Drosophila melanogaster: one gene and its partners. The gene in region 3 interacts genetically with the main gene of each other region. Each region holds a gene or a part of one and is shown on either strand. Other genes may lie near its edges.

The links.
Region 1: of Decay (region 3) and Atg9, changing one suppresses a phenotype caused by changing the other (phenotypic suppression), as found in Drosophila melanogaster (one study listed by BioGRID).
Region 2: of Decay (region 3) and Atg7, changing one suppresses a phenotype caused by changing the other (phenotypic suppression), as found in Drosophila melanogaster (one study listed by BioGRID).
Region 4: of Decay (region 3) and Der-1, changing one suppresses a phenotype caused by changing the other (phenotypic suppression), as found in Drosophila melanogaster (one study listed by BioGRID).

What each region holds. Positions count from the first base shown.
Region 1 is NT_033778.4:16,292,700-16,297,753, reverse strand, and holds Atg9 (Autophagy-related 9), read right to left. Parts: upstream 3,355-5,054; 5' UTR 3,234-3,354; coding exon 696-3,233; coding exon of another isoform or gene 675-695; 3' UTR 522-674; downstream 1-521. Other genes in the region: CG7747 (uncharacterized protein), read left to right, coding at 3,720-3,751, 3,811-4,765, 4,820-4,971, 5,030-5,054.
Region 2 is NT_033778.4:18,619,922-18,626,558, reverse strand, and holds Atg7 (Autophagy-related 7), read left to right. Parts: upstream 1-1,514; 5' UTR 1,515-1,599; coding exon 1,600-1,796; intron 1,797-1,852; coding exon 1,853-2,374; intron 2,375-2,431; coding exon 2,432-2,644; intron 2,645-2,775; coding exon 2,776-2,920; intron 2,921-2,981; coding exon 2,982-3,329; intron 3,330-3,389; coding exon 3,390-3,554; intron 3,555-3,572; exon of another isoform or gene 3,573-3,628; coding exon of another isoform or gene 3,629-3,914; intron 3,915-3,970; coding exon of another isoform or gene 3,971-4,558; intron 4,559-4,675; coding exon of another isoform or gene 4,676-4,767; exon of another isoform or gene 4,768-5,018; intron 5,019-5,226; coding exon 5,227-5,520; intron 5,521-5,603; coding exon 5,604-5,720; intron 5,721-5,784; coding exon 5,785-5,838; 3' UTR 5,839-6,093; downstream 6,094-6,637. Other genes in the region: Sec6 (secretory 6), read right to left, coding at 1-179, 245-1,216; CG5335 (uncharacterized protein), read right to left, coding at 3,629-3,914, 3,971-4,558, 4,676-4,767.
Region 3 is NT_033777.3:16,498,508-16,502,818, forward strand, and holds Decay (death executioner caspase related to Apopain/Yama), read right to left. Parts: upstream 2,544-4,311; 5' UTR 2,497-2,543; coding exon 2,166-2,496; intron 1,589-2,165; coding exon 1,256-1,588; intron 951-1,255; coding exon 688-950; 3' UTR 551-687; downstream 1-550. Other genes in the region: Gr89a (gustatory receptor 89a), read right to left, coding at 1-452.
Region 4 is NT_033779.5:1,972,245-1,975,931, reverse strand, and holds Der-1 (Derlin-1), read right to left. Parts: upstream 1,976-3,687; 5' UTR 1,697-1,975; coding exon 1,452-1,696; intron 1,369-1,451; coding exon 1,114-1,368; intron 1,052-1,113; coding exon 941-1,051; intron 872-940; coding exon 745-871; 3' UTR 519-744; downstream 1-518. UniProt on the Drosophila melanogaster protein: May be involved in the degradation process of specific misfolded endoplasmic reticulum (ER) luminal proteins.

The DNA of each region.
Region 1 (5,054 bases), on a different chromosome or scaffold from region 3:
GGTCCACTCTGTGCGCCCCGATCTCCTCCAGTCTTTGGTCTCTGCTCGCCGCATTGGCCATCAACACCAATCGCCAAATGGCGTTCGTGTGTGGCAAGTGACACACGAGGCGCTGCAGCACAGCTGGATGCGTTCTCCTCAGCCACTCGCATCTGGATCTCTGGACCAGGTGGATGTGGTGTGCCAACAATGCCTACAAATGGGGACCATCCATCAGTGCTGATGGAGCTGGCATTCCCACATCCCGGAGAGCTAAGATCGGGATAAGCCGTAAAGACATTAAATATAATCTTCACAATGAAAATGGATTTTTTTTATGGTGTCTCCTTTCAGTTGTTGTACACAGGATACACAACGGATAATGCTTAGGATTTACAAGCCATTATAATCAAACCAGGTAAATAGTTTATACATATATATATATGTAAATATGGGTAATGGGTAATCACAACTACTACACACTAATAGATTTAGTTATTATCTAGCGAAATTTCCTTTGAAATAATAAAGCTGATCAATTTGATAATGCATTTATGTTTATTGCTTCTCGTTTAGTTTAGCTTAGTTTCAGATTAGTTTAGCTACGCACTAGACGACGTCGTTCGTTCGTTTACACTTTAAAATTTAGGTTAATCACTAATAGCAGAATGGGTGGTCCTTAGCTCTACAGGTGGTTAGATCCACTCTGGCCGCTGCTATGAGCGGATGCTACCCAAAAGCGGCGTGCTCTCGGCAGCCTTTGAGGTAATCACGGTATGGCGGGAGCCGAAGCCAGTATCAGCCGACGGAGCAGCTGGTGGTCGCGGTGGCCAATGGCTCGTACCAGGACGCTCGTCCTCGGCCTCGTCGATGCGAGACTGGCGCGCTTGGCGCTTCTGCTGGTTCAGCTCGTGCAAATAGAGGGCACTGAGGCACATGTCGGCCACGCCCACATTCAAGGGAGTGCTGCCCACGCGCGGGTCCACACCACAGAGTCCGTAGAGCAGTGTATCCGTCGGACCCTCCAAGCGGCCTTCAGCCCGGCTGAGGCGCAATCGGCGCATGCTGTCCAGCGGGCCGACACTGGCGGACAGATTCTGCTGCAACATCTGGCGGAAGTCGCTGGCTGCGACGGGGAATCCTCCAGATACCGGTCCTAGACCCGGACGCAACGACTGCGAAATCTCCAGTTGCTGGGGCGTCACCTGTGCGGTCAGCACAGAGTTCGCAATGGAACAATAATCCGCTCCCATGGTGCCAAATGAGATGAGGCTGTTGGTCAGCGGGTTCTCCTGCACCATCGACGTCTTGGCCTGGACTAGTTCACCAACGGCGTGCTCTCTAACGCCGCGCAGGAACTGCTTGGCCTCCTTGGGCATCTGCCACTCGGGATTGTTCAGGGTGAAGCGAAGAAGCGACATCTCCGTTTTGCCGCCGGCCAAACTTTGCTGCTGTGGCTCCTGCTGCGGCTGTTGAGCTGTAGCCCGGGTCATCTCCTCCAGTTCGCTGGTTAACTGCCAGTCGGGATTGCCATGCTTGCGAACATCCATCTGGGCAAAGGAGCATACGTTGCCCACTCCTCGCACGGATACGGTGAACGTCCTGAAGAAACGCACCAGCTCTATGGCCTTTGGCCTGAACACAAAGATCAGCACGAAGGGTGTGACGAAGGGACTGAAGATTTCGCTGAGTAGGTAGCCAGCCTTAAACTGAAAGAAGTTGCTAAACTCCTGGCGAACCTTTGTCGTGTGCGCCTGCTGCCGCCACTCGGAGGGCAGGTAGTGAACGTGCGCCAGAATGGCGGTCATTAGCTGCTCTGGGCACCAAACGAGATTCTCATCCGGTATTAGAGTTCTGCAGACCACACCTATGGCGCCGAGCCCTGCAAGGATGGCAAGCAAATGCTCCACCTGGAAGACGTGTTCCTCGTAAATGCCCAATGCAAGGATTAGAAGTAGTAGTCCTCCACTGATAAAGAGTAGGTTTTTGGCTATCACAGCGGCCAGTGGCGAGGAAAAGGAGTTGAGATAGCGGTCCGCGTAGTCATATGCCCGATTCAGCCTGGCATCTAGTTCGTGGTCCAGTTCATTAAAGTGGCGCAGGTAGAGGCGGCCGTAATTGGACCATGTACGCAGGCCAAGGGCACCAGGCTCCTTACGAAGAATGTTCGCATAGGAGAAACTGAAGTAGATAAGTTGCCATACGAAGATCACAGGCGCTAGGACCAAATTTAACAACGCCACCCCCAATATCAGTTTGGAGAGTCGCTGCGCCAGCTCCGTTTGATTGCTTCTTACCGCAAACTCATCACGCAGCTGCCAATTGTTCTGGAAGGGAGATCCAGGGCCGCGAAACAAGATGAAGTCAATGTTGAACAACATACCTCTACTCAGCGAGACCACTTCGCCATACAGCGGTATGTGGAACCTTACAGGCAGCAGTTGCTTGTTCATCAGTGCCACTAGGTAGTTCTTGAAGCGCAGAACTCGGTGATAGATGTCCAATTCCGTAAGCGACTCCTTGTCGATGCACATATGCTGTTCGGCCTGGACGCGACGAATCCGCTGTTGCACCTCGTGCCACGTAAAGTTGTCCAGATCCGAATCCTCGATATGAAGCGCAGAGTTGTAGAATCTCTTTATATCGGCGTACTGGGTAATATGGTACACCATTTTCAGAAGCCTTATGCCCAAATAGATAGCGGCTATGAACACAACCAGGTACGTGACCCAAGTGAAGTTGGCTAAGCACTCGCCTGTGGGGTACATCACATCGGATAAAGTTGTCTTGTTGGGGTTAAGTCCCCCTGGAGGGGTGTCCCCAAAGAGCACGTCAAATCGGACGCAGTGCATCACAAAGGCAAGTAGCCAGACGACGAAACCAAACTCCAGAACCTGTAGCATTTCGTCCACTACAATCACTGTGAATCCGTGCTTCTGCTGGTACTGATACATTCGCGAGAAGAACGAGTCAAGGTCCTCGATGTGGTTCCACCGCGCACGCCCCGTCTCCGGAACCATGTGGATCATGACGCCACTGTTTCGAGGCGTGTCCTCGCCCTCATGCTCGGTGTCGTGCTCATCCAGCGGCTGCTCCAGCCCGTGTTCACCGAGGGGGTCTAAATGCGCAGCAGCTGCGTTCGCTTTTGCGTCTTGTGTTTTGGATGGGCCTTGGCCTGTGGAGGGATGGTGCTCCAGGAACGGACTGGCCGCCTCCTCGGCCAGGGAGCGGTAGTTGATATGTGGGCTAGACATCGCCCAACGTCAAGGTCAACCGTTCTGACTATTTATATCGCTGTATAGTATAAGTTGGAAAATTCTTTGTTGTTTGATTCTGCTGAACCTTCTCAGCAAACAGCTGACTCTCCTAAGAGAAGTGTTGGCCAACGTCAAAATACTGGGTAATGAATAAGTAAGGCGAACCTCTTGCAGCGCCCAATGTGCAGTGTTCACACTGCCAGGGCATCTCTAAATAACACACATTGGAGAATCAAAGGTATCTTATAAAATTAATACTTATAAATAATTAAATTTGCATTTTTCTTGTTATTTGTTTTTATATTCGTTTTTAACTTTTTGAAATACTCGATACTTTTGTTTATGGTACCCGAAGTGTGAACAGCCTAGATATCCATCAACATAAATCTGCACAGAGTTGGCAGTTCTCTCCCGCATTTGTAAACAAACTATTTGTAGCTCTTACTTTATTGCAAATTTAATTTAAAAAAACAAACAGCCAAGATGGGTAAAAGGCAGCATCAAAAGGACAAAATGTAAGTATTTAGCACATCCAGCGAGTTATGGAAATGAAGACTACCCATTGCTTTAACAGGTACCTCACGTACACGGAGTGGAGTGAGCTGTATGGCGGCAAAAAAGTGGAATCCTTGGAGAACGACCATGTCAAGTTCAAGCGGCTGCCATTCGAGCACTGCTGCATTACGATGGCGCCCTACGAGATGCCCTACTGCGATCTACAGGGCAATGTGTTCGAGTACGAGGCCATTCTTAAGTTTCTCAAGACCTTTAAGGTGAACCCCATCACCGGGCAGAAGATGGACTCCAAGTCATTGGTGAAGCTGAACTTCCACAGGAATGCAAACGATGAGTACCACTGCCCCGCCTTGTTCAAGCCCTTCAGCAAGAACTCGCACATCGTGGCGGTGGCCACAACTGGAAATGTATACTGCTGGGAGGCAATCGACCAGCTGAACATTAAGACAAAGAACTGGAAGGATCTGGTGGATGACACGCCATTCCAGCGTAAGGATATCATCACAATACAAGATCCTCAGAAGCTGGAAAAGTACGACATCTCGACCTTCTATCATATTAAGAAGAATCTACGAGTCCTGACGGAAGAAGAGCAGCAAGAGAGAAAGAATCCAGCCAGCGGCCGCATTAAGACCATGAATCTGGAGACCAAGGAGACGCTGGAACAGCTGCAGCAGGACTATCAGCCAGCGGAAGAGGAGGCCTCCACTTCGAAGCGTACAGCTGACAAGTTCAACGCAGCTCACTATTCAACTGGAGCGGTGGCGGCCAGTTTTACGTCTACCGCCATGGTGCCCGTTTCCCAAATAGAGGCGGCTATCATAGATGATGATTTGGTCAAGTACGAGCGGGTAAAAAAGAAGGGCTACGTTCGTTTAAATACGAACCTTGGCCCTCTCAACCTGGAGCTCTTCTGCGATCAAACTCCTCGAGCCTGCGATAACTTCATCAAGCATTGCGCCAATGGTTACTACAATAATGTTATGTTTCACCGGTCCATAAGGAATTTTATTGTAAGTACGATCTCTTTTGAGAGAAACTTTAATTTACTATGGTTTTATCCACAGGTGCAAGGTGGTGATCCCACTGGAAGTGGTTCTGGTGGCGAGTCCATTTGGGGCAAGAAGTTTGAGGACGAGTTTAAGCCGAATCTTACGCACACGGGCCGAGGAGTGCTATCAATGGCCAATTCGGGACCCAACACCAATGGCTCTCAGTTGTAAGTACCACAAAGTGACATTTTTTCAATGCTTTTGCAAGTATACGCTGTTTCGTAGCTTTATCACCTATCGCTCTTGCAAA
Region 2 (6,637 bases), on a different chromosome or scaffold from region 3:
TATTCATCTTCCAGCGCTTTGAGATGTTCCGGACGCAGCAGAGTACCTATCTGTCGGTGTACATCCACATTAAGATCCGGATGGGACATCAGCTCGACGCCAGGATAGGTGTGTGTAACCCAAGCCATCATTGATACATATTCATTGCCCTCCAAGCCCGAGCGCACAATGTTGTCAAGCTGGAATTAGTAAATATTAGTGGTATAAAAACATTAATCAATTTAAATGATTGACGATTACTCACATAGCTAGAAAGTCCTTCGTGATAGAACTTGACATATTCGCCGAAAATGTCGTAGTGCGGCGGGAAGCAGGGCACACAAAGGGACTTCACAACGCGCAGATCCTCGAGAATGATTTGACGCAATATCTCCAGGTCTCGTACTAACCACATCTTGTTATCGGCCCGCTCCTCTAGCTTGGATCCCTCTATGCGCGTTATCACCGACTGTTGTAGCACGTCCATGATCATGCGGCGCCAAGCCTTTGGTCTTCCAGGCGGCAGGAATCCTGTGACCTTTTGCTGCTGCAACGCGAACTGGTCGTTTTTCTCTTCCCGCTCTATGATGCGTAGGGCGGTAACGATGATGGTGGGCTTCTTGCGCAGAGTGTTCAGCGTGCGGCTAAGAATGAGTCGCAGCTTTTTCTCCAGCTCTTGGGATACCGTGTCAACCTTCTCGAAGTGACGCTTTAGGGTGATCTTGTCGGACGCATGCTGCTTGGGCTGCTTGTGCAGTTCGTAGAGAAGATCATCCCGCGAATTCTCCAGATCCGCCAGGCACTGATGGGCATTAAGCAGCTTATCATCCTCGATCAGCGCCATCGTCTTTTGTACGCTGGCATCTACGTTGAAGATGTGCTTCAGATTCTCCATGGCGGTGGCGTACTGGGAGTGCTTTGTGTTTTCCTCCCGCACAACTTCCAAAGCGTCGTAGACTTCGGGAACGCCCCTCAGCAGGCGCTCCACCTCGTCCATTCGACGCCTTACCTCGCGCACGTCCTGCATGCAGGTCTCCAACTGCTTAAGTCCCACCCTGACCCCGTCCAGCTGTCCTTGCATTCCGGTCTTAAGGAGCGCCTCAACGGATGCCTTCTTCCGGGCGATTCGGTGGCGATATTGTTCCACCTTCTCCAGTTGACCTGGTCGCTGCAACATGTTCTGTATGTCCTTGAGCGCTGCCTGGCGAGCCTGCTCCTCCAGCTGCTGTAAATCCATCTTCAATTTATTTGGATCACTTTCAGTCTCTGTTTTGGTCAATCTTCGTCAGCAGTGGAAGTGCTGGTGTGACCATATAGCAGTGCGGCTGACAATCTCACTTCCAAGAACTACAGTGTAACTTGACAATAAGCTATATTCTACTCTTAAAATTATTATAGTTTTATTGTGTCTTAAAATTTTTATTTTATTCTTCAAGCTTAAAAAATTATGAAGTTAAAGTATATCTTTTAGTTTGCCAAAGCAACAGAGGATTCGACCTAAGTATGGAAAACTGTACTTATCGATAAGTTATCTTCTCATTGGTCTATCGCCATCGAGAGCTTTGTTTGTTTATAATTTGCAGCCAAACGTTTGAACGTAAACAACGCCCTAAGCAAAACATGAGCACGGAAAAAGAGATAATTTTGCAATTTGCTCCGTGGGAATCTTTTGTGTCGCCCACTTTCTGGCACAAGCTAGCGGAGCTTAAGCTCGACCACGATCGCCTGTCCGACTCGAAACGCTCCATTACTGGACACTACACAAATCGTAATGCAAGTGGATGCCTTTTGGAAGTAGACTACACGGCCTACAACAGGTGAGCTTGAAAACTACGAGTTTGATGAAACCAGCGCTTGACCACCCACATTCCAGAATGGCAAAGCCTCCAAAATTCAGCCATTCCGCTATAGGCACCATCTACAATAAGAACACAATCGAAGAGTTCAAGGCCCTGGACAAATTACAACTGCTGGCCGATGAGGGCAAGGAACTGCTGGCTGATATGTGCAGTGGTGGCGCCTTGAGAGATCCCAGTCTATTGACCCGGTTCTTTGTTCTCTCCTTTGCCGATTTAAAGTGTCACAGCTACTACTATTGGTTCGCCTTTCCGTGCCCGCTGACGCCCACCTTAAAGCTTCAGGGAGCCGTCCAAAAACTGCGGGACTTGCCCAATAGTAGTAGCTATATAATGGCTCTAAAGGCCTTACCCACTGAGTCACAGAACTTCTTCATTCTGTATGCTAATGTGGAGAAGAACATTTTCGAAGCCCGTAGTTTAAGTTCCCTTGACGATAAAAATGTTGAGTTCTGTTATTTTGGTTTTGCTGATCCCAGCGAGTATGAGCATCCAGCTTGGATAATGCGAAACTATGCTGCCTTTCTGCTTCAGCAATGGTAGGTAGGAATAGCAATGTTATGATATCAGTTCACACAGTTGTCGGTCTATTACAGTCCCTCTTTTGTTGGAAAACCATTGAAGTTTCTTGGCCTGCGACACAATCAACAAATGAACATCGATGACAGCCTTGTATGGAAGGTGATTCAGACTGAAGCTTGCGATCTTAGCCAAAGCGAAAATATAAAGTTCGTGGGCTGGGAGCTAAATAAAAATGGCAAAATGGGGCCAAGAATGGTGTGCATGAGGGACAGCATGGATCCAGCCAAGTAAGTTAATAGCTATAGACTTAAATGATAAGAACTATCAGTTCATTGAGGTGTGTCCTTAGTGTTAGCTACCACGACAGTTGAAAGTAACTTGTTTATTATTTATAATTTAACAATATTTCTTTCCGTAGACTCGCTGAGAACTCTGTAAACCTGAACCTGAAACTAATGAAGTGGCGCCTTGTTCCCGATCTCAATCTCGAAATCATCTCCCAAACAAAATGCCTGCTCTTTGGAGCTGGTACTTTAGGATGCGCTGTAGCTAGAAATCTGCTGGTGTGCTTTTATACGAAATGATTTAACTGATCTGATAACTAATAGTTTATTTATTTTGTAGTCCTGGGGATTTAAGCACATAACCCTTTTGGACAGCGGCAAGGTTGGGTTCTCTAATCCAGTGCGTCAGAATCTCTACACGCATGCAGATGCTGTGGCAGGCAATCGGATGAAGGCGACTACAGCTGCTCAGAGATTGAAAGAGATCAATCCGTCTGCGGAAACGGCGGGTTATGTGCTGGAGATTCCCATGCCTGGGCATACTATTGGAGAATCGCTTCTAGCCCAGACGAAGGAGCATTTGAAGGTTATCGAAAAGCTTGTGCAGGACCATGATGTCATCTTTCTGCTCACAGATTCGCGCGAAAGCCGCTGGCTGCCCACCCTGCTTGGAGCGGCAAAGGAAAAAGTGGGAACAATCATATACTCACCTTTCAGAAGAGATGTACCTAAAATGTTTCCCTTATAGATTGTCATCAACGCAGCTTTAGGCTTTGACAGTTATCTGGTAATGCGACATGGCACTACGCGTAAGGAAGCAGGCGACGATGGCCAAGAAATCGAAGGACTTAAGTGCATTAATGGCGATCAATTAGGTTGCTACTTTTGTAACGATGTTACGGCCCCTGGAAATGTAAGTCCCATTTGTTGTATAGTTTAAGATAACATTTGTATTTTCAGACTTCATTAGTTGGGTTAACATGGTTACTAAACGCATTCGTAATCATGGCGGGAATATTTTTCGAAGCCAGCGCACGTAGGATCCCCCGTCTGCAGGTGATCCACACCAGTTATCTGCACTACCAGGCCATTTATGCTGGTCACCTTGAAACCCACTAGATTCATCATGGCATTAGGTGTGCGCCAGGTGTAGCTGAAGAAGTTATAACCGTCCACTGCAGTCAAAACCTCGCGTTCCGTAAACGCAAGCGCCAGCTTGAATTGCTGGTTAAAGACGAAGGGGAAACCTCCATGACGCTCCTCGCTTCCGAATCTATAAAAAGAATTAGTTAACGCCCAAAGAGGTACGGCATTATAAAGTTAACTTACTCAAAATTTTTGTTCATGGAATTGCGCACTACTGCCTTCTCATCGAAACGCACACTGAAGTGTAGCTCTTCGCGCTTGGTATCCGAGTCCATGAACTTGATTATGAACTGTCCCTTTTTATTCTCGAAACACCGAGCTGTAAGGACAATCACATGGCCCGGACTAAACAAAATTGGCTGATCGTTACTGAACGCCTTAAAGTAGTCCGAGGCGTGAACGGCTGGCCACGGATTTGGAAACACAGTACGATGATCCACCTGTTTAATGACTTGGATCTGATCACGGATCTCCAGAGCACGAATCGTTCCCAACGGCATGCGGTAGCGGAATCTGCAGAACTCTCGGCTATTTATCGAGATGGCAAAGCTGTCCTCGCAACAAAGAATGTAGACCAAAAAGAACTCGCCACTGACGATGGGATTGGGCAGGGTGTTGGGGTCCATGACATGGGACTCCTCCTCGCCCCAGGCGCCGTTTATCCGGGAATTTCGAACGATCACATCGTTCCGAAAATAGCATGAGAAGCGTAGCCCAATATCTGCGTTCGGATCGACCGTGCTCTTGGCCGTGCAGAGGTTAATGTGGAACCTATCCGAACCAAATGATCACAATCGATTAGTCACGTACTGATAAGAAGCCCAATTTGACAAGTAATTAGTCAGAAAACGGAAAAGCGGTCTTACATTAATGCCGGACAACACTTACCTGGCTGCTCCATCGATGGTCTTGGCCACGACCTCCAGAACATGACCAAACTCCAGCGGATGCGATAGATTGCCAGCGAATTCGGTCAACATGATTCCTTCCTGCAATTACCAATTCAACTAACTATCGCCTTTGTACTGAACAATCAAGCGCAAAATGTGTTTTATAGTTCCGTGGGAGAGTCCGGAGTTCTCCGGCTCTCCCAAATGTTAAAACTTTATCTAATCAGTGATGGGCGGAGCGGCGGGTTGCTCAAGTAACCGATACAAACGCCGAAGTTTTCTATATCTTGTGTTTTTGGTTTTTAAGCGCTGCTATTTGTTTTGTTCTCGCCCGAAGGCGTCATCTTTGTTTGCTCGGAGCATGTGTTTGTGGACACAGAAAAGCTTTCAAAAGCTCTTGATCGTACTACTGCACCGGCGTCGAATGTGCTCCAAATCACACTGAAAAAAACTCTGTATAAAAAAATCTCTTATAGACTCGCTTTATAAAGTTGTACGTACAAATTTGGATACAGATACTCATTGCATTTCGTTCTATTCCATTTTCAGTCGCTCAAAGACCGAACTTTGGATCAACAGTGCACAGTGACACGACCCGGAGTATCCAACATTGCGGCCAGCTATGCGGTGGAATTGTTGGTGGCTTTGCTGCAGCATCCTCGTAAGGAGCTGGCACCCGCCTACTATGCACAGAGTGGGCGTGGCAGGTCGGAGGAGACGGAAGAAAAGGTGCCGGAGGGTCTGCTAGGAATTTTGCCTCACTCCATCCGTGGAATGCTGTGCAACTACGAGAATATTCTGCCCGCCACTCAAAAGTTTGCTCAGTGCATAGCCTGTTCAGCGGTAAGATTTGACAATCTTTTAAAATGGTTTTGATAGCGTTTTCAATATTGTTAAAATTTTTTTTTTAATATATTCGCTTACAGGCCGTCCTAAATGAATATAAAAAAGAGGGTCATGCTTTCCTGTTTAAAACTTTTGAAACAGCCAAGTTTCTGGAGGATTTGACGGGAATCTCCGAATTCAAGCGGTTAAACAGCGAGGTTTGTTTGTTTCCTGTGTTTAATCTAATGGAGATATTTAAAAATTATTCATATTTTTGCACAGATTATCGATTTTGATGATGAAGAATTTGACATGTCCGATAGCGACGAGGATTAGGTTCCACAAAATTGGTCAAGTTTTATCTTCAAAGCAAAATATCTTAAATATGAAATTCAGCTTATTGTGGCTTTAATTTTCTGCAGCATTTATAGTTCAATGTCTATACCAAAAATGTGTGTACTTCAATGCTTTTATTCTATCTAGTCGTTAAGCAAATTGTGAATCATTCAAATGAAATTGATGTGAAAATTAGGCATAAGAAAAATGTGAATTTACTATTGAAAATTGTAATAATAAAAGTGTGAATTTACTATTGAAAATTGTTATAATAAAAGTGCTTAAGTACGGGAACAAATGTATTTCCGCCAATTTACAAGTCGCAGCCTTTAAGCTTTGTTTGTTTGTACGAAACGTGTTTCTGCTGATAAGAGCACTCATTTATAGGCGAAAATATTATTCTGATCTGAGAATTCCCATTTTTGTGGTTGACAAATACCAAAATATTGTTTTCAATTCCCGATCGGTCATTGAATATGTTATTAGCTGCATTATTCAAGGCGAAAACACGCAAACAAAGATGAATGTTCGTATAAAATTGTTTTGGGAATATGCAAATGATTTACATAGTGGGCCAGGTATGCGAAAAGAATAGTTCAAAGTTGAATAAACCTGGTTAGAAAGCCACGAACTAATCGCATATGTAAATTTGCTTATTATGTCTCGGTCAAAGTAGATGACATCCTAGAAATACGCTCACAAATGTTATACTTTAAAGAGATATGTAAAGTTAAAACTATATTTTTAGTCCAGGAATATAAAATGTTTAAATTTTCATTAAATGGTTGTATGAAAATTT
Region 3 (4,311 bases):
CCGGCTCCTTTGAGAAATGGCACACTACATAACAGGTCGTAGAGGGAGAGTAGCAACTTAAGCCAGAGGAACAATGTGGACCACCAGCTCAGTCTCCTCCGACGATGCAATCTGGCCAAGTCATTTACCAAATTGGCCAACTCCCGGCGATTCCAAAGGTGGTTTCCCAACAGAGCTAGTGAAATGCAGACATCACCCGTCATGGTGGCCAAAGCGATTGTCTTAAAGACCATCGAGTGCCGCACATTAGTGGCCTCATACATGGCAGCACTTTTCCAGAGAACAAAGGGCGCCATTGATGTGAGTAGTAGCCATCTAAAGACCGCAATCAAGGTCATCCATCGCTGGCACCTGGCGACCATTGGCTCGGAAGTCCGAAACGGGGCCAAGGCCAAAATCTGCCAATATTTAAGCAGCAAACAAAGACCGCAGACATGCGGAAATCGCAACATTTTCCGGGCAACTGACCTCCCGGAAACGCGACTTCTATCTATTCACTTGTCAGCCAGTTCGCTATCGCAGTCCCAAAGGCACTAAGCCAATTCTAGATAAGTGCCATCGATATGTATTTCTATTAACAAATTGCAAACATTACGATTAAATGAAAGAGTTGTGGCGTCCCTCGTTCTTGACCCGCGGACTGACTCACAGTCCCGATTGGATTGTCGCTGATTTCGTGACCGGAGCTCAGGTCTTGGGCTTAACACGCAGCTGGAATGTTTTGGTCAGTGTCGACATAAAGTTGGGCATTTCCTTCATCTGGTTGAGGGCCTCGTTCTTCGTATTCGACTGGTACTCGTAGGCCACCTTCCGATTCACTGCGGTCAGCAGGCGGAGTAGCTCGACGCCCTCCGGCGTGGCAGCTTCGTTGGCGGCGGCCTGGTCGAGGACGCGGCACAGGCTCTGGATGAACCAGGAGCCATCGTCAACGTTACGGAATGAGAAGAATTCTGAAAGGAAGAAAGGAAGAAGTTACAATCAGGAAATATTTGAAATGGAAACTTAATAGCAAGATAAATATAGAAATTATATTCATATAGCCAAAAAACTATTTCTTTCTTTTGGACTAAGAACAAGTATCTTCCAAAATAGTGCTTTAAGTATGCATTAAGTATTCTAATTCATTGATAGGAACACAATCCTTTTCAACCCAGAAATAACCCGATTTGATTGACGTTCAAAGCTTTTCGAAGCCTGGACAAGTTTCAATTAATTGTGAAACTAAATATGATTAATACATTTTGCCAACACTCACTGTCGAATGTGGAGTAGAAGACGAGGATGTCCGCCGTGCTGGGAATGGCATAGGTGATGGGCTGAACGGCGGCAGCGGGCTCCGGGACCAGTTCCCTGGTCATCACAGCGAAGCTGGAGAACTCGACTGCCTTTTCCAGGTTGGCTCCGCGACAGGCCTGGATGAAGAAGAGTTTGGGTTTGTTCTTGAGCGTCTTGCAGTTGTCGCCGAGGAAGGGATTCCAAAGGCGCTCCACAGGATATGACATGTCCTTAGCGTAGACCTTGCCTTCGGTGCCGTGTGACATCACCGCCAACACAAAGCAGTCGTTTTGACTGTGATCCTCCCGAGCAACTGAAATGAAGTAGATTCACATCTTTAGTAAGTAGAAAAATAATTATAATAAAAATCGAGACTTGCTTCAAAACACTTTTCTCTTCAAAGAAAACTATACAAAAAGACGCGTTCCAATAATCAATGCACTATACAATTTTCAACATATAAAACGGTTGTTATTTTCTCAAAACAAAAAATATTTTTTTGCTGCCTTCGGATTGATCAGACCAACAGATTACTGTCTTTATCTCATAATTATTGCAGTCGTAAAAATAGTGACTTTGTTTTGATAATGATAAGATATACATATGTGTTTGAAATATGTCACCAGTTTCGATGGACACGATTGAGTGCAGCTAGATTTTGATGACTATCACATTGATTTTTAAGTTGCATATTAAATGTTTTCTCTTTTGTTTAACAAGGGAGTAAATATATTTTACTACTCGTAAAGAAAGACATTACCTCGTATTTACGGTGGAATACGAAAATAAACTTGATTCCGTTGGTAGATAACTTAACTTTGAGTACATATGTATGGTTCTGTGTTTTTGTCTGCCATTTGTTGCAACAATAGAACTCGTGGATAACTCACCCTCTTTGAGCGTGTCGTTGATCTCGGAGAAGGTCAGATCGTCGAAGGTGCGTACATCGAATCCGAATCCCTGCAGCGTCGCCTCCATGTCATCGCGATCCCGTTCGGTGCCCACGCGCTGCTTCTGTCCCTTGACATCCTTGTGGTTCAGGATTAGCGCAATGCCCGCTCGCGCGCAATTCTCGTATGTGTCCTCGTTGGTGGGGCGCGAGATTATGATCCTTTTGAGGTCCAGCTCCGATGTGGGCGTATGGGCGATCTTGGTGGCATCCGCCTTGTCCTTCTTGTGCTTGTTCTTCTGCCCGAAGAGCGAGAAGTCGGTGTCGTCCATTTCTGACCGTCCGCGCGCTTTGGCAGCAACCTGTGACTAAGCGCGATTGGAAGTTTTCACCTATCAAACGACAAAAAAAAGCTCTCGCTCCCGTTCGCCTAACATCTTATCTAATCAATGCAGCCGTCTTATCACCTTGAGCTTGCTGGGGTGGATTCTTCTCTCGCTCGCCGCGGTATTTTTCGGGCTCTTGCCCAACGTTGATTAGCCTGCTCGAGGGGAAGTTACGTTTATTGGTAGCAAAATACAATTCCCTTTGCCATTGCACCAGACAATTTGATTTCCCCGACGGGTTCACGCCCACAAAAGTGGGCGCTCGTCAGGGAAATTGGCAACTTCCGGCGAAAGTGTCGCTGCTACTGGGGATTTCTTAATGTGTTTTCAATAAAATTCAGATGCGCAAAAAAGCGGCAATGGGCGGCAAACTTTGCCACGCAATTCAAAATTTCACGCACACAAAGTAACGGAAACCGGAAATGAGTATGGCGTCCTTAAGTCGAAGGAGTACCGTTATAAAGTGTACCGCAGACTGAGAGAAAGTTCTATACGATTTAGTAATTTATTGTGTAATATTCGAACAGTTAGCTACGGGCATTTTAATGTGATATAAAAACAATATGTCAAAGTTAAGTTAGTTTCAATTTCACTTTAAATTACAACAATATAAAGAAATCTTTTATTGCGGTGCAGCCAAAAAATGTACCTCAGCGCTTAAGAGAGAGAAACATAAGAGAGAGCTGGAAACTTGTGGCGCATAACAACAATTGCGGCTAATTAATAAAGCTGCTCCTACGACCCTGATTGGATGCCAATTATAATTGATATGTAATTACAATTAGCGACATCAATATTTCTGTCAGCTGAAGAGCCAAAAAAAGAAAATGAAGAACAGTGGGTGGGGGAGCAGGAAAGTTGTTTAGCCGGCTTTTCAGAACCAGAACAATCGCCTTTGATTCTCGAGGTGCCTTCCACCGAAAGCAGATGTTGCCCCTCCAGTGACCTGAAATCTGCTCTTATCTTGCAGCTCCAAAAGGTGAAGAGAAAGGAGAGATTTATTGGGGCGGGATTCCGAAAATGCACTTGCTGCTGAATGCTCAAAATGAAATGATTTATCTGACGCACTTTTATGGAATAACAATGCAAAGTTTCACCTGAAATTTATGCATTCCCGTTTCTTATCTTTTTAAATTGTAGGTTCCCGGGGATGTAAATATGTATGTACATACATACATACATTGAAATTTGACACCTAAAGTTTTTTTAATACCTTTGTTATTAACTACATTAAAACAGTTTAATTTACAGAAATAATGTAGTAAACTTATTACATAGGTATATTGAAATCAATCAATTTATTTACAAAACTCGCAATTAGTGCTTCTGCTTATATTTGTAGTAATTAAGTAATTTAAACACTATAACTACGTAATTCTGAGGTCATTTCTGTAAGTGCAGTATACTTACTCCCACCGGTTGATCGTGTTTTTTTGCTGCTTTCTCCGTCTTTCTTCTTTTTTTACCTTACAACAATAATTATTTGTAACAAATTTAGTTGTTTTTTTCAAGAAATGACAAATTACTTTTACTATTTTAATAAATTGCTGCCAATGAATTTCCAATTAGACATATAACATATATAAACAGTTCCTTAAACTCTTAGCCCACTCTTTTAGTTGGCTCTCTTAAGTTCGATACGAACTCGAACTTGCTCGCTTCGAACATGAACCCGCTCGAGCTGAAACCGAATTCAAAACCAAAACAGCGACGCCAAAAGCGTTGTATATGTTGCCCAGTGCGGACGTGTTTACGTGTCGG
Region 4 (3,687 bases), on a different chromosome or scaffold from region 3:
AGATTATAGACCCTAGTTGACCCAATCCGAACCCGAACATGTAAATATCTGATGAATTTCGAAATGCAAGGCCCAACTATCGCAGCCACATATAAATATACACTTGTATAGATACCTAGTTCGGCTAAGGACCACACATGTTTAATCTTGATCGGAAGGAGACCCATGCCACACACACACACACACACACACACACACACACACCCACACACACAGATGATTAACCATTAACGATTTATAGATGTTAAGTATTTTATGCGTCGGTTTTGTAAATCCAAATCTTAAGAGGAATGTTGTAACTTTCGACCAAGGTCCAAAAAAGAAACACACAGAAAAGGAAGAAGCATCCAAACAGAGAATTCCCCTCTACGAAAAGTGAAAAGTGTAATACAAAATATTGTTGAACGATGCGTGTCGCTGTAAAATTTTTAGCATAGAACTTTTAAACGAAATAAATTTAAATGTAACTAAAGGAACTCGTTTTGCTTTGGCCAAAGGGAAACGCCGCATTCTTTTTTGTCTTCTTTAATGGTTGTTTATGTACACACATATTTTAATATAATTTCATCAATGCACAATGCAATCCTTCCACTTAACATGTTAACTTATTGCTGTCGCCAGAGAATCGAGTGGTGATCGAAAAATAGTTGGAAAAGTAAAGAGCTTGGTGAGAAAATAGAGTAAACCAAACCGTAAAAAGGGGAATTAGTCTAGTCTAGAGAGTTTCGAGTTTCAGCTTGGAGTTCAGTTGCGACCCAAGGTCATGCCCCGGCCCCAGGGACTTTCGGTCGCCTGCCTAGGTGGTGCTCTGCTCTCCGGTGGGAGTCCGAAGCCGCCGAATCCGCCGGAAACATCTGGCACCAGGCGCTTCCTATACAAAAAAAAGAAGTGCGGGTTATATCGACTAGCACCACAAGTTAATTATCCTCGTTATGCTTACAAGAACTGCGGCGTTTCCAACAGGGGTGTGCCGCCCAAATCCTGCGAGTATTGGAACTTGAAGAAGTAGTACACATGTCCCACGAATATGCCCACCAGCGAGGCGAGCGAGCTGCAGCGGATTACAATACGATAACAATTAGCAGATAAGGCAGATAAACTGACGCGACTTACAAGTGGAAAATAAACTCGAAGGCGGCCAGCACCCAGGGAAGGTACATGGCCTTGAACCTGGTGCCGAACCAGAAGCTCACGGTGACGTCCTTGTTCAGCTGGCACCAGATATACGTGATGGCCAGCACCAGCGTGTCCATGAGGAAGTACACGTTGAAGATCATGCCCCCGATGTTGGCCAGCACCGCCGACACGATCAACAGGTACAGGTAATCAGCCGGACTTCGGCTGTACTGATCCTTCTCCAGTTTGGAGCTGCAAGGCAGGATTATGAATCCTAAGGAATCCTAACGTAACGAACCAGTTGCTGTGCTGCGCCAGGCTGGCCGACTACTCACCTGTACTGAACGATGAAGAAGCAGTTGATGAGGAAGTGGAAGGCCGTGTTCGACGAGATGGGAAAGACGAACAGTGACGTCATGCAGCGCCAGAGCTGCAGCTTGCTGAAAACGGCCGATCGGTCCAGATGCAGCCAATGAAGGGGTATCACATCGAAGCGGCAGAGCATGCTCAACACCACGGTGGCCGTCAGCCAGTAGCGGGTGAAGCGGGGCAGCGAGCGGTACCACACGCCAGCGTCCATTGTGTGTACTTCTCGTGTATGCTTTGGTGTCCTGTTTAATTCATTAATTCGCTGCTTTTGTGCGGAGTGATTTTCTCTATTTTTGTTGCTTTACGTGTCTTTTTGGTGATGGCACTTGACTCCGGCTCGGGGCGAATGGCAAGGGTCGTGCCTATCGGCTGGGTTTAACGGCCATGAACGCGCTTGCCAGTGAATGTCTCTTGCATTTGAATTTTTAACATCTTTTGAAATAAATTCGAAATTTTTATAAAACTTTATTTATGGTCTCGAAATTCTAAGTATTACTGGGTATTATGAAGTTGTTTGTTATTATGTATGAGTTTGACATTAATAAGTTAGAAAAAAAGAATTTTCTACAATATCCAGGAATCAAACTAATATCGAAAAATAAGGTTTAAAATGTTTTTACATGTTCTTAAAGAACTCAAGTCATTTTGATTTTATATAAAACCGAACTTTCCTAGAAACAAAGTCAATTACGGTAACACAATGCTCGTTTAATATCATGCGATCCTTTATGATCTATTGTACAATATTTATAAGGAACCCTGCAATATTTGAAGCAACATCCATTTTCGACTGCAGTTCATTAAAACTTAACATCTTTTTTGCTTTGTTGTCAATAAATGCAGCCTCATTGATGGATTTAAGTTATTTTCATTATTATTTCGGTGTGCCCCTTCCGCTCTCCTTCACCTTTGATCCCGCAATTTGTGATTTTGTGAGGTAACATTTTCGAGGACTGACAAAGCGATGGCCAACAACAAAGCGGACAGAAACGCACACACATGCAGGACACTTAATTCATAACAGGCGAGAGCACACAAATAAATAGCGGAAATTTTGTTACGTATTTTTTGGCAACTTTTTGTGGTATCTTTGTGGCAATGCCTTTGTTAGCCAACGAAAAATGCGGGAATTTTTGACAGGTAAGAAGCGTGTGCCATGGCACTCACTCTCTCACACGCACACACGAACGCACACACATTGCCATGCAGTGGTGCGAAATTAATCAACTTGGAAATCATGCGCTTTTCCAATATCCTGCATTTTCGAGTGAACTCCGCTGTGCTGATTAATTTTGGACAATATTCCCCACTGTCACAAAGCAGATTATTGAGTCTCAAAATTTAGAGACAATTTTTTTTTCTGGTGGACTTTTGGTAACGAAAGTAAAAGCCGGTTTTTGAGCGATAAGTAAAGTTCATATTTTTTGAGTGCCGATGCATTCGAATGGTCGTTCTGTTGGAGTGAGTGAGCTGGCAACAGTTGGTGTGGGTGCCTGTTGAATTTCCAGCGGGAGCGAAAGAGATGCAGCGACAGCGAGAGAGCAACAGTAACAAAATGTCGAGGCTAATCAACTGTGCGTGTGTGTGTGCCTGTGTGAGTGAGCGAGGACACACCCACCGATTGGCCATGCGAAAAGATGGATGCTAGAGCAGTGCGACGCATGCGCTGCCATTTTGTGCGCCGACTGCGCTGCTTCCTGCCATTTGATACGCCCACTAACGGTGCTTCGTGCTCATCATTAAGTTGCACCCACACATATCGGTGCGCGAACACATACTGCACACATAGATGGATTCTATTTACCCACCCGTTGAGCCTTTTGCCCGGGCCTTTTGCTCGCAGCAGCTCACCTGGATCTCTCGGTCCACCTGGCTCCGTCATTTTGTTGTTGCCGCCGACGAAGGTGCACTCAAACAAATAGTTGAATTAGGTGAGCAGCTATTAAGAATCATTACTTAGCAATAATAAATGATAGTTTCTTTTGTATTATATCTCACTGTCTTTATATTCACTAGTTACAATTGAAGGCGCTTTATTCGTTGCTTTAGTAGGATTAGAACAAATATGAAATGAGTACTCCCCTTTATTTCTTTCAGTGTGCTCGCTCATTTCGTTGCGTGCTATGTAGAGAAGGTAAAGGCTCCTCCGCTGCTGCTTCACAGCGTCTTTTATTTAATATTTTATATGCAAACATTTTATTA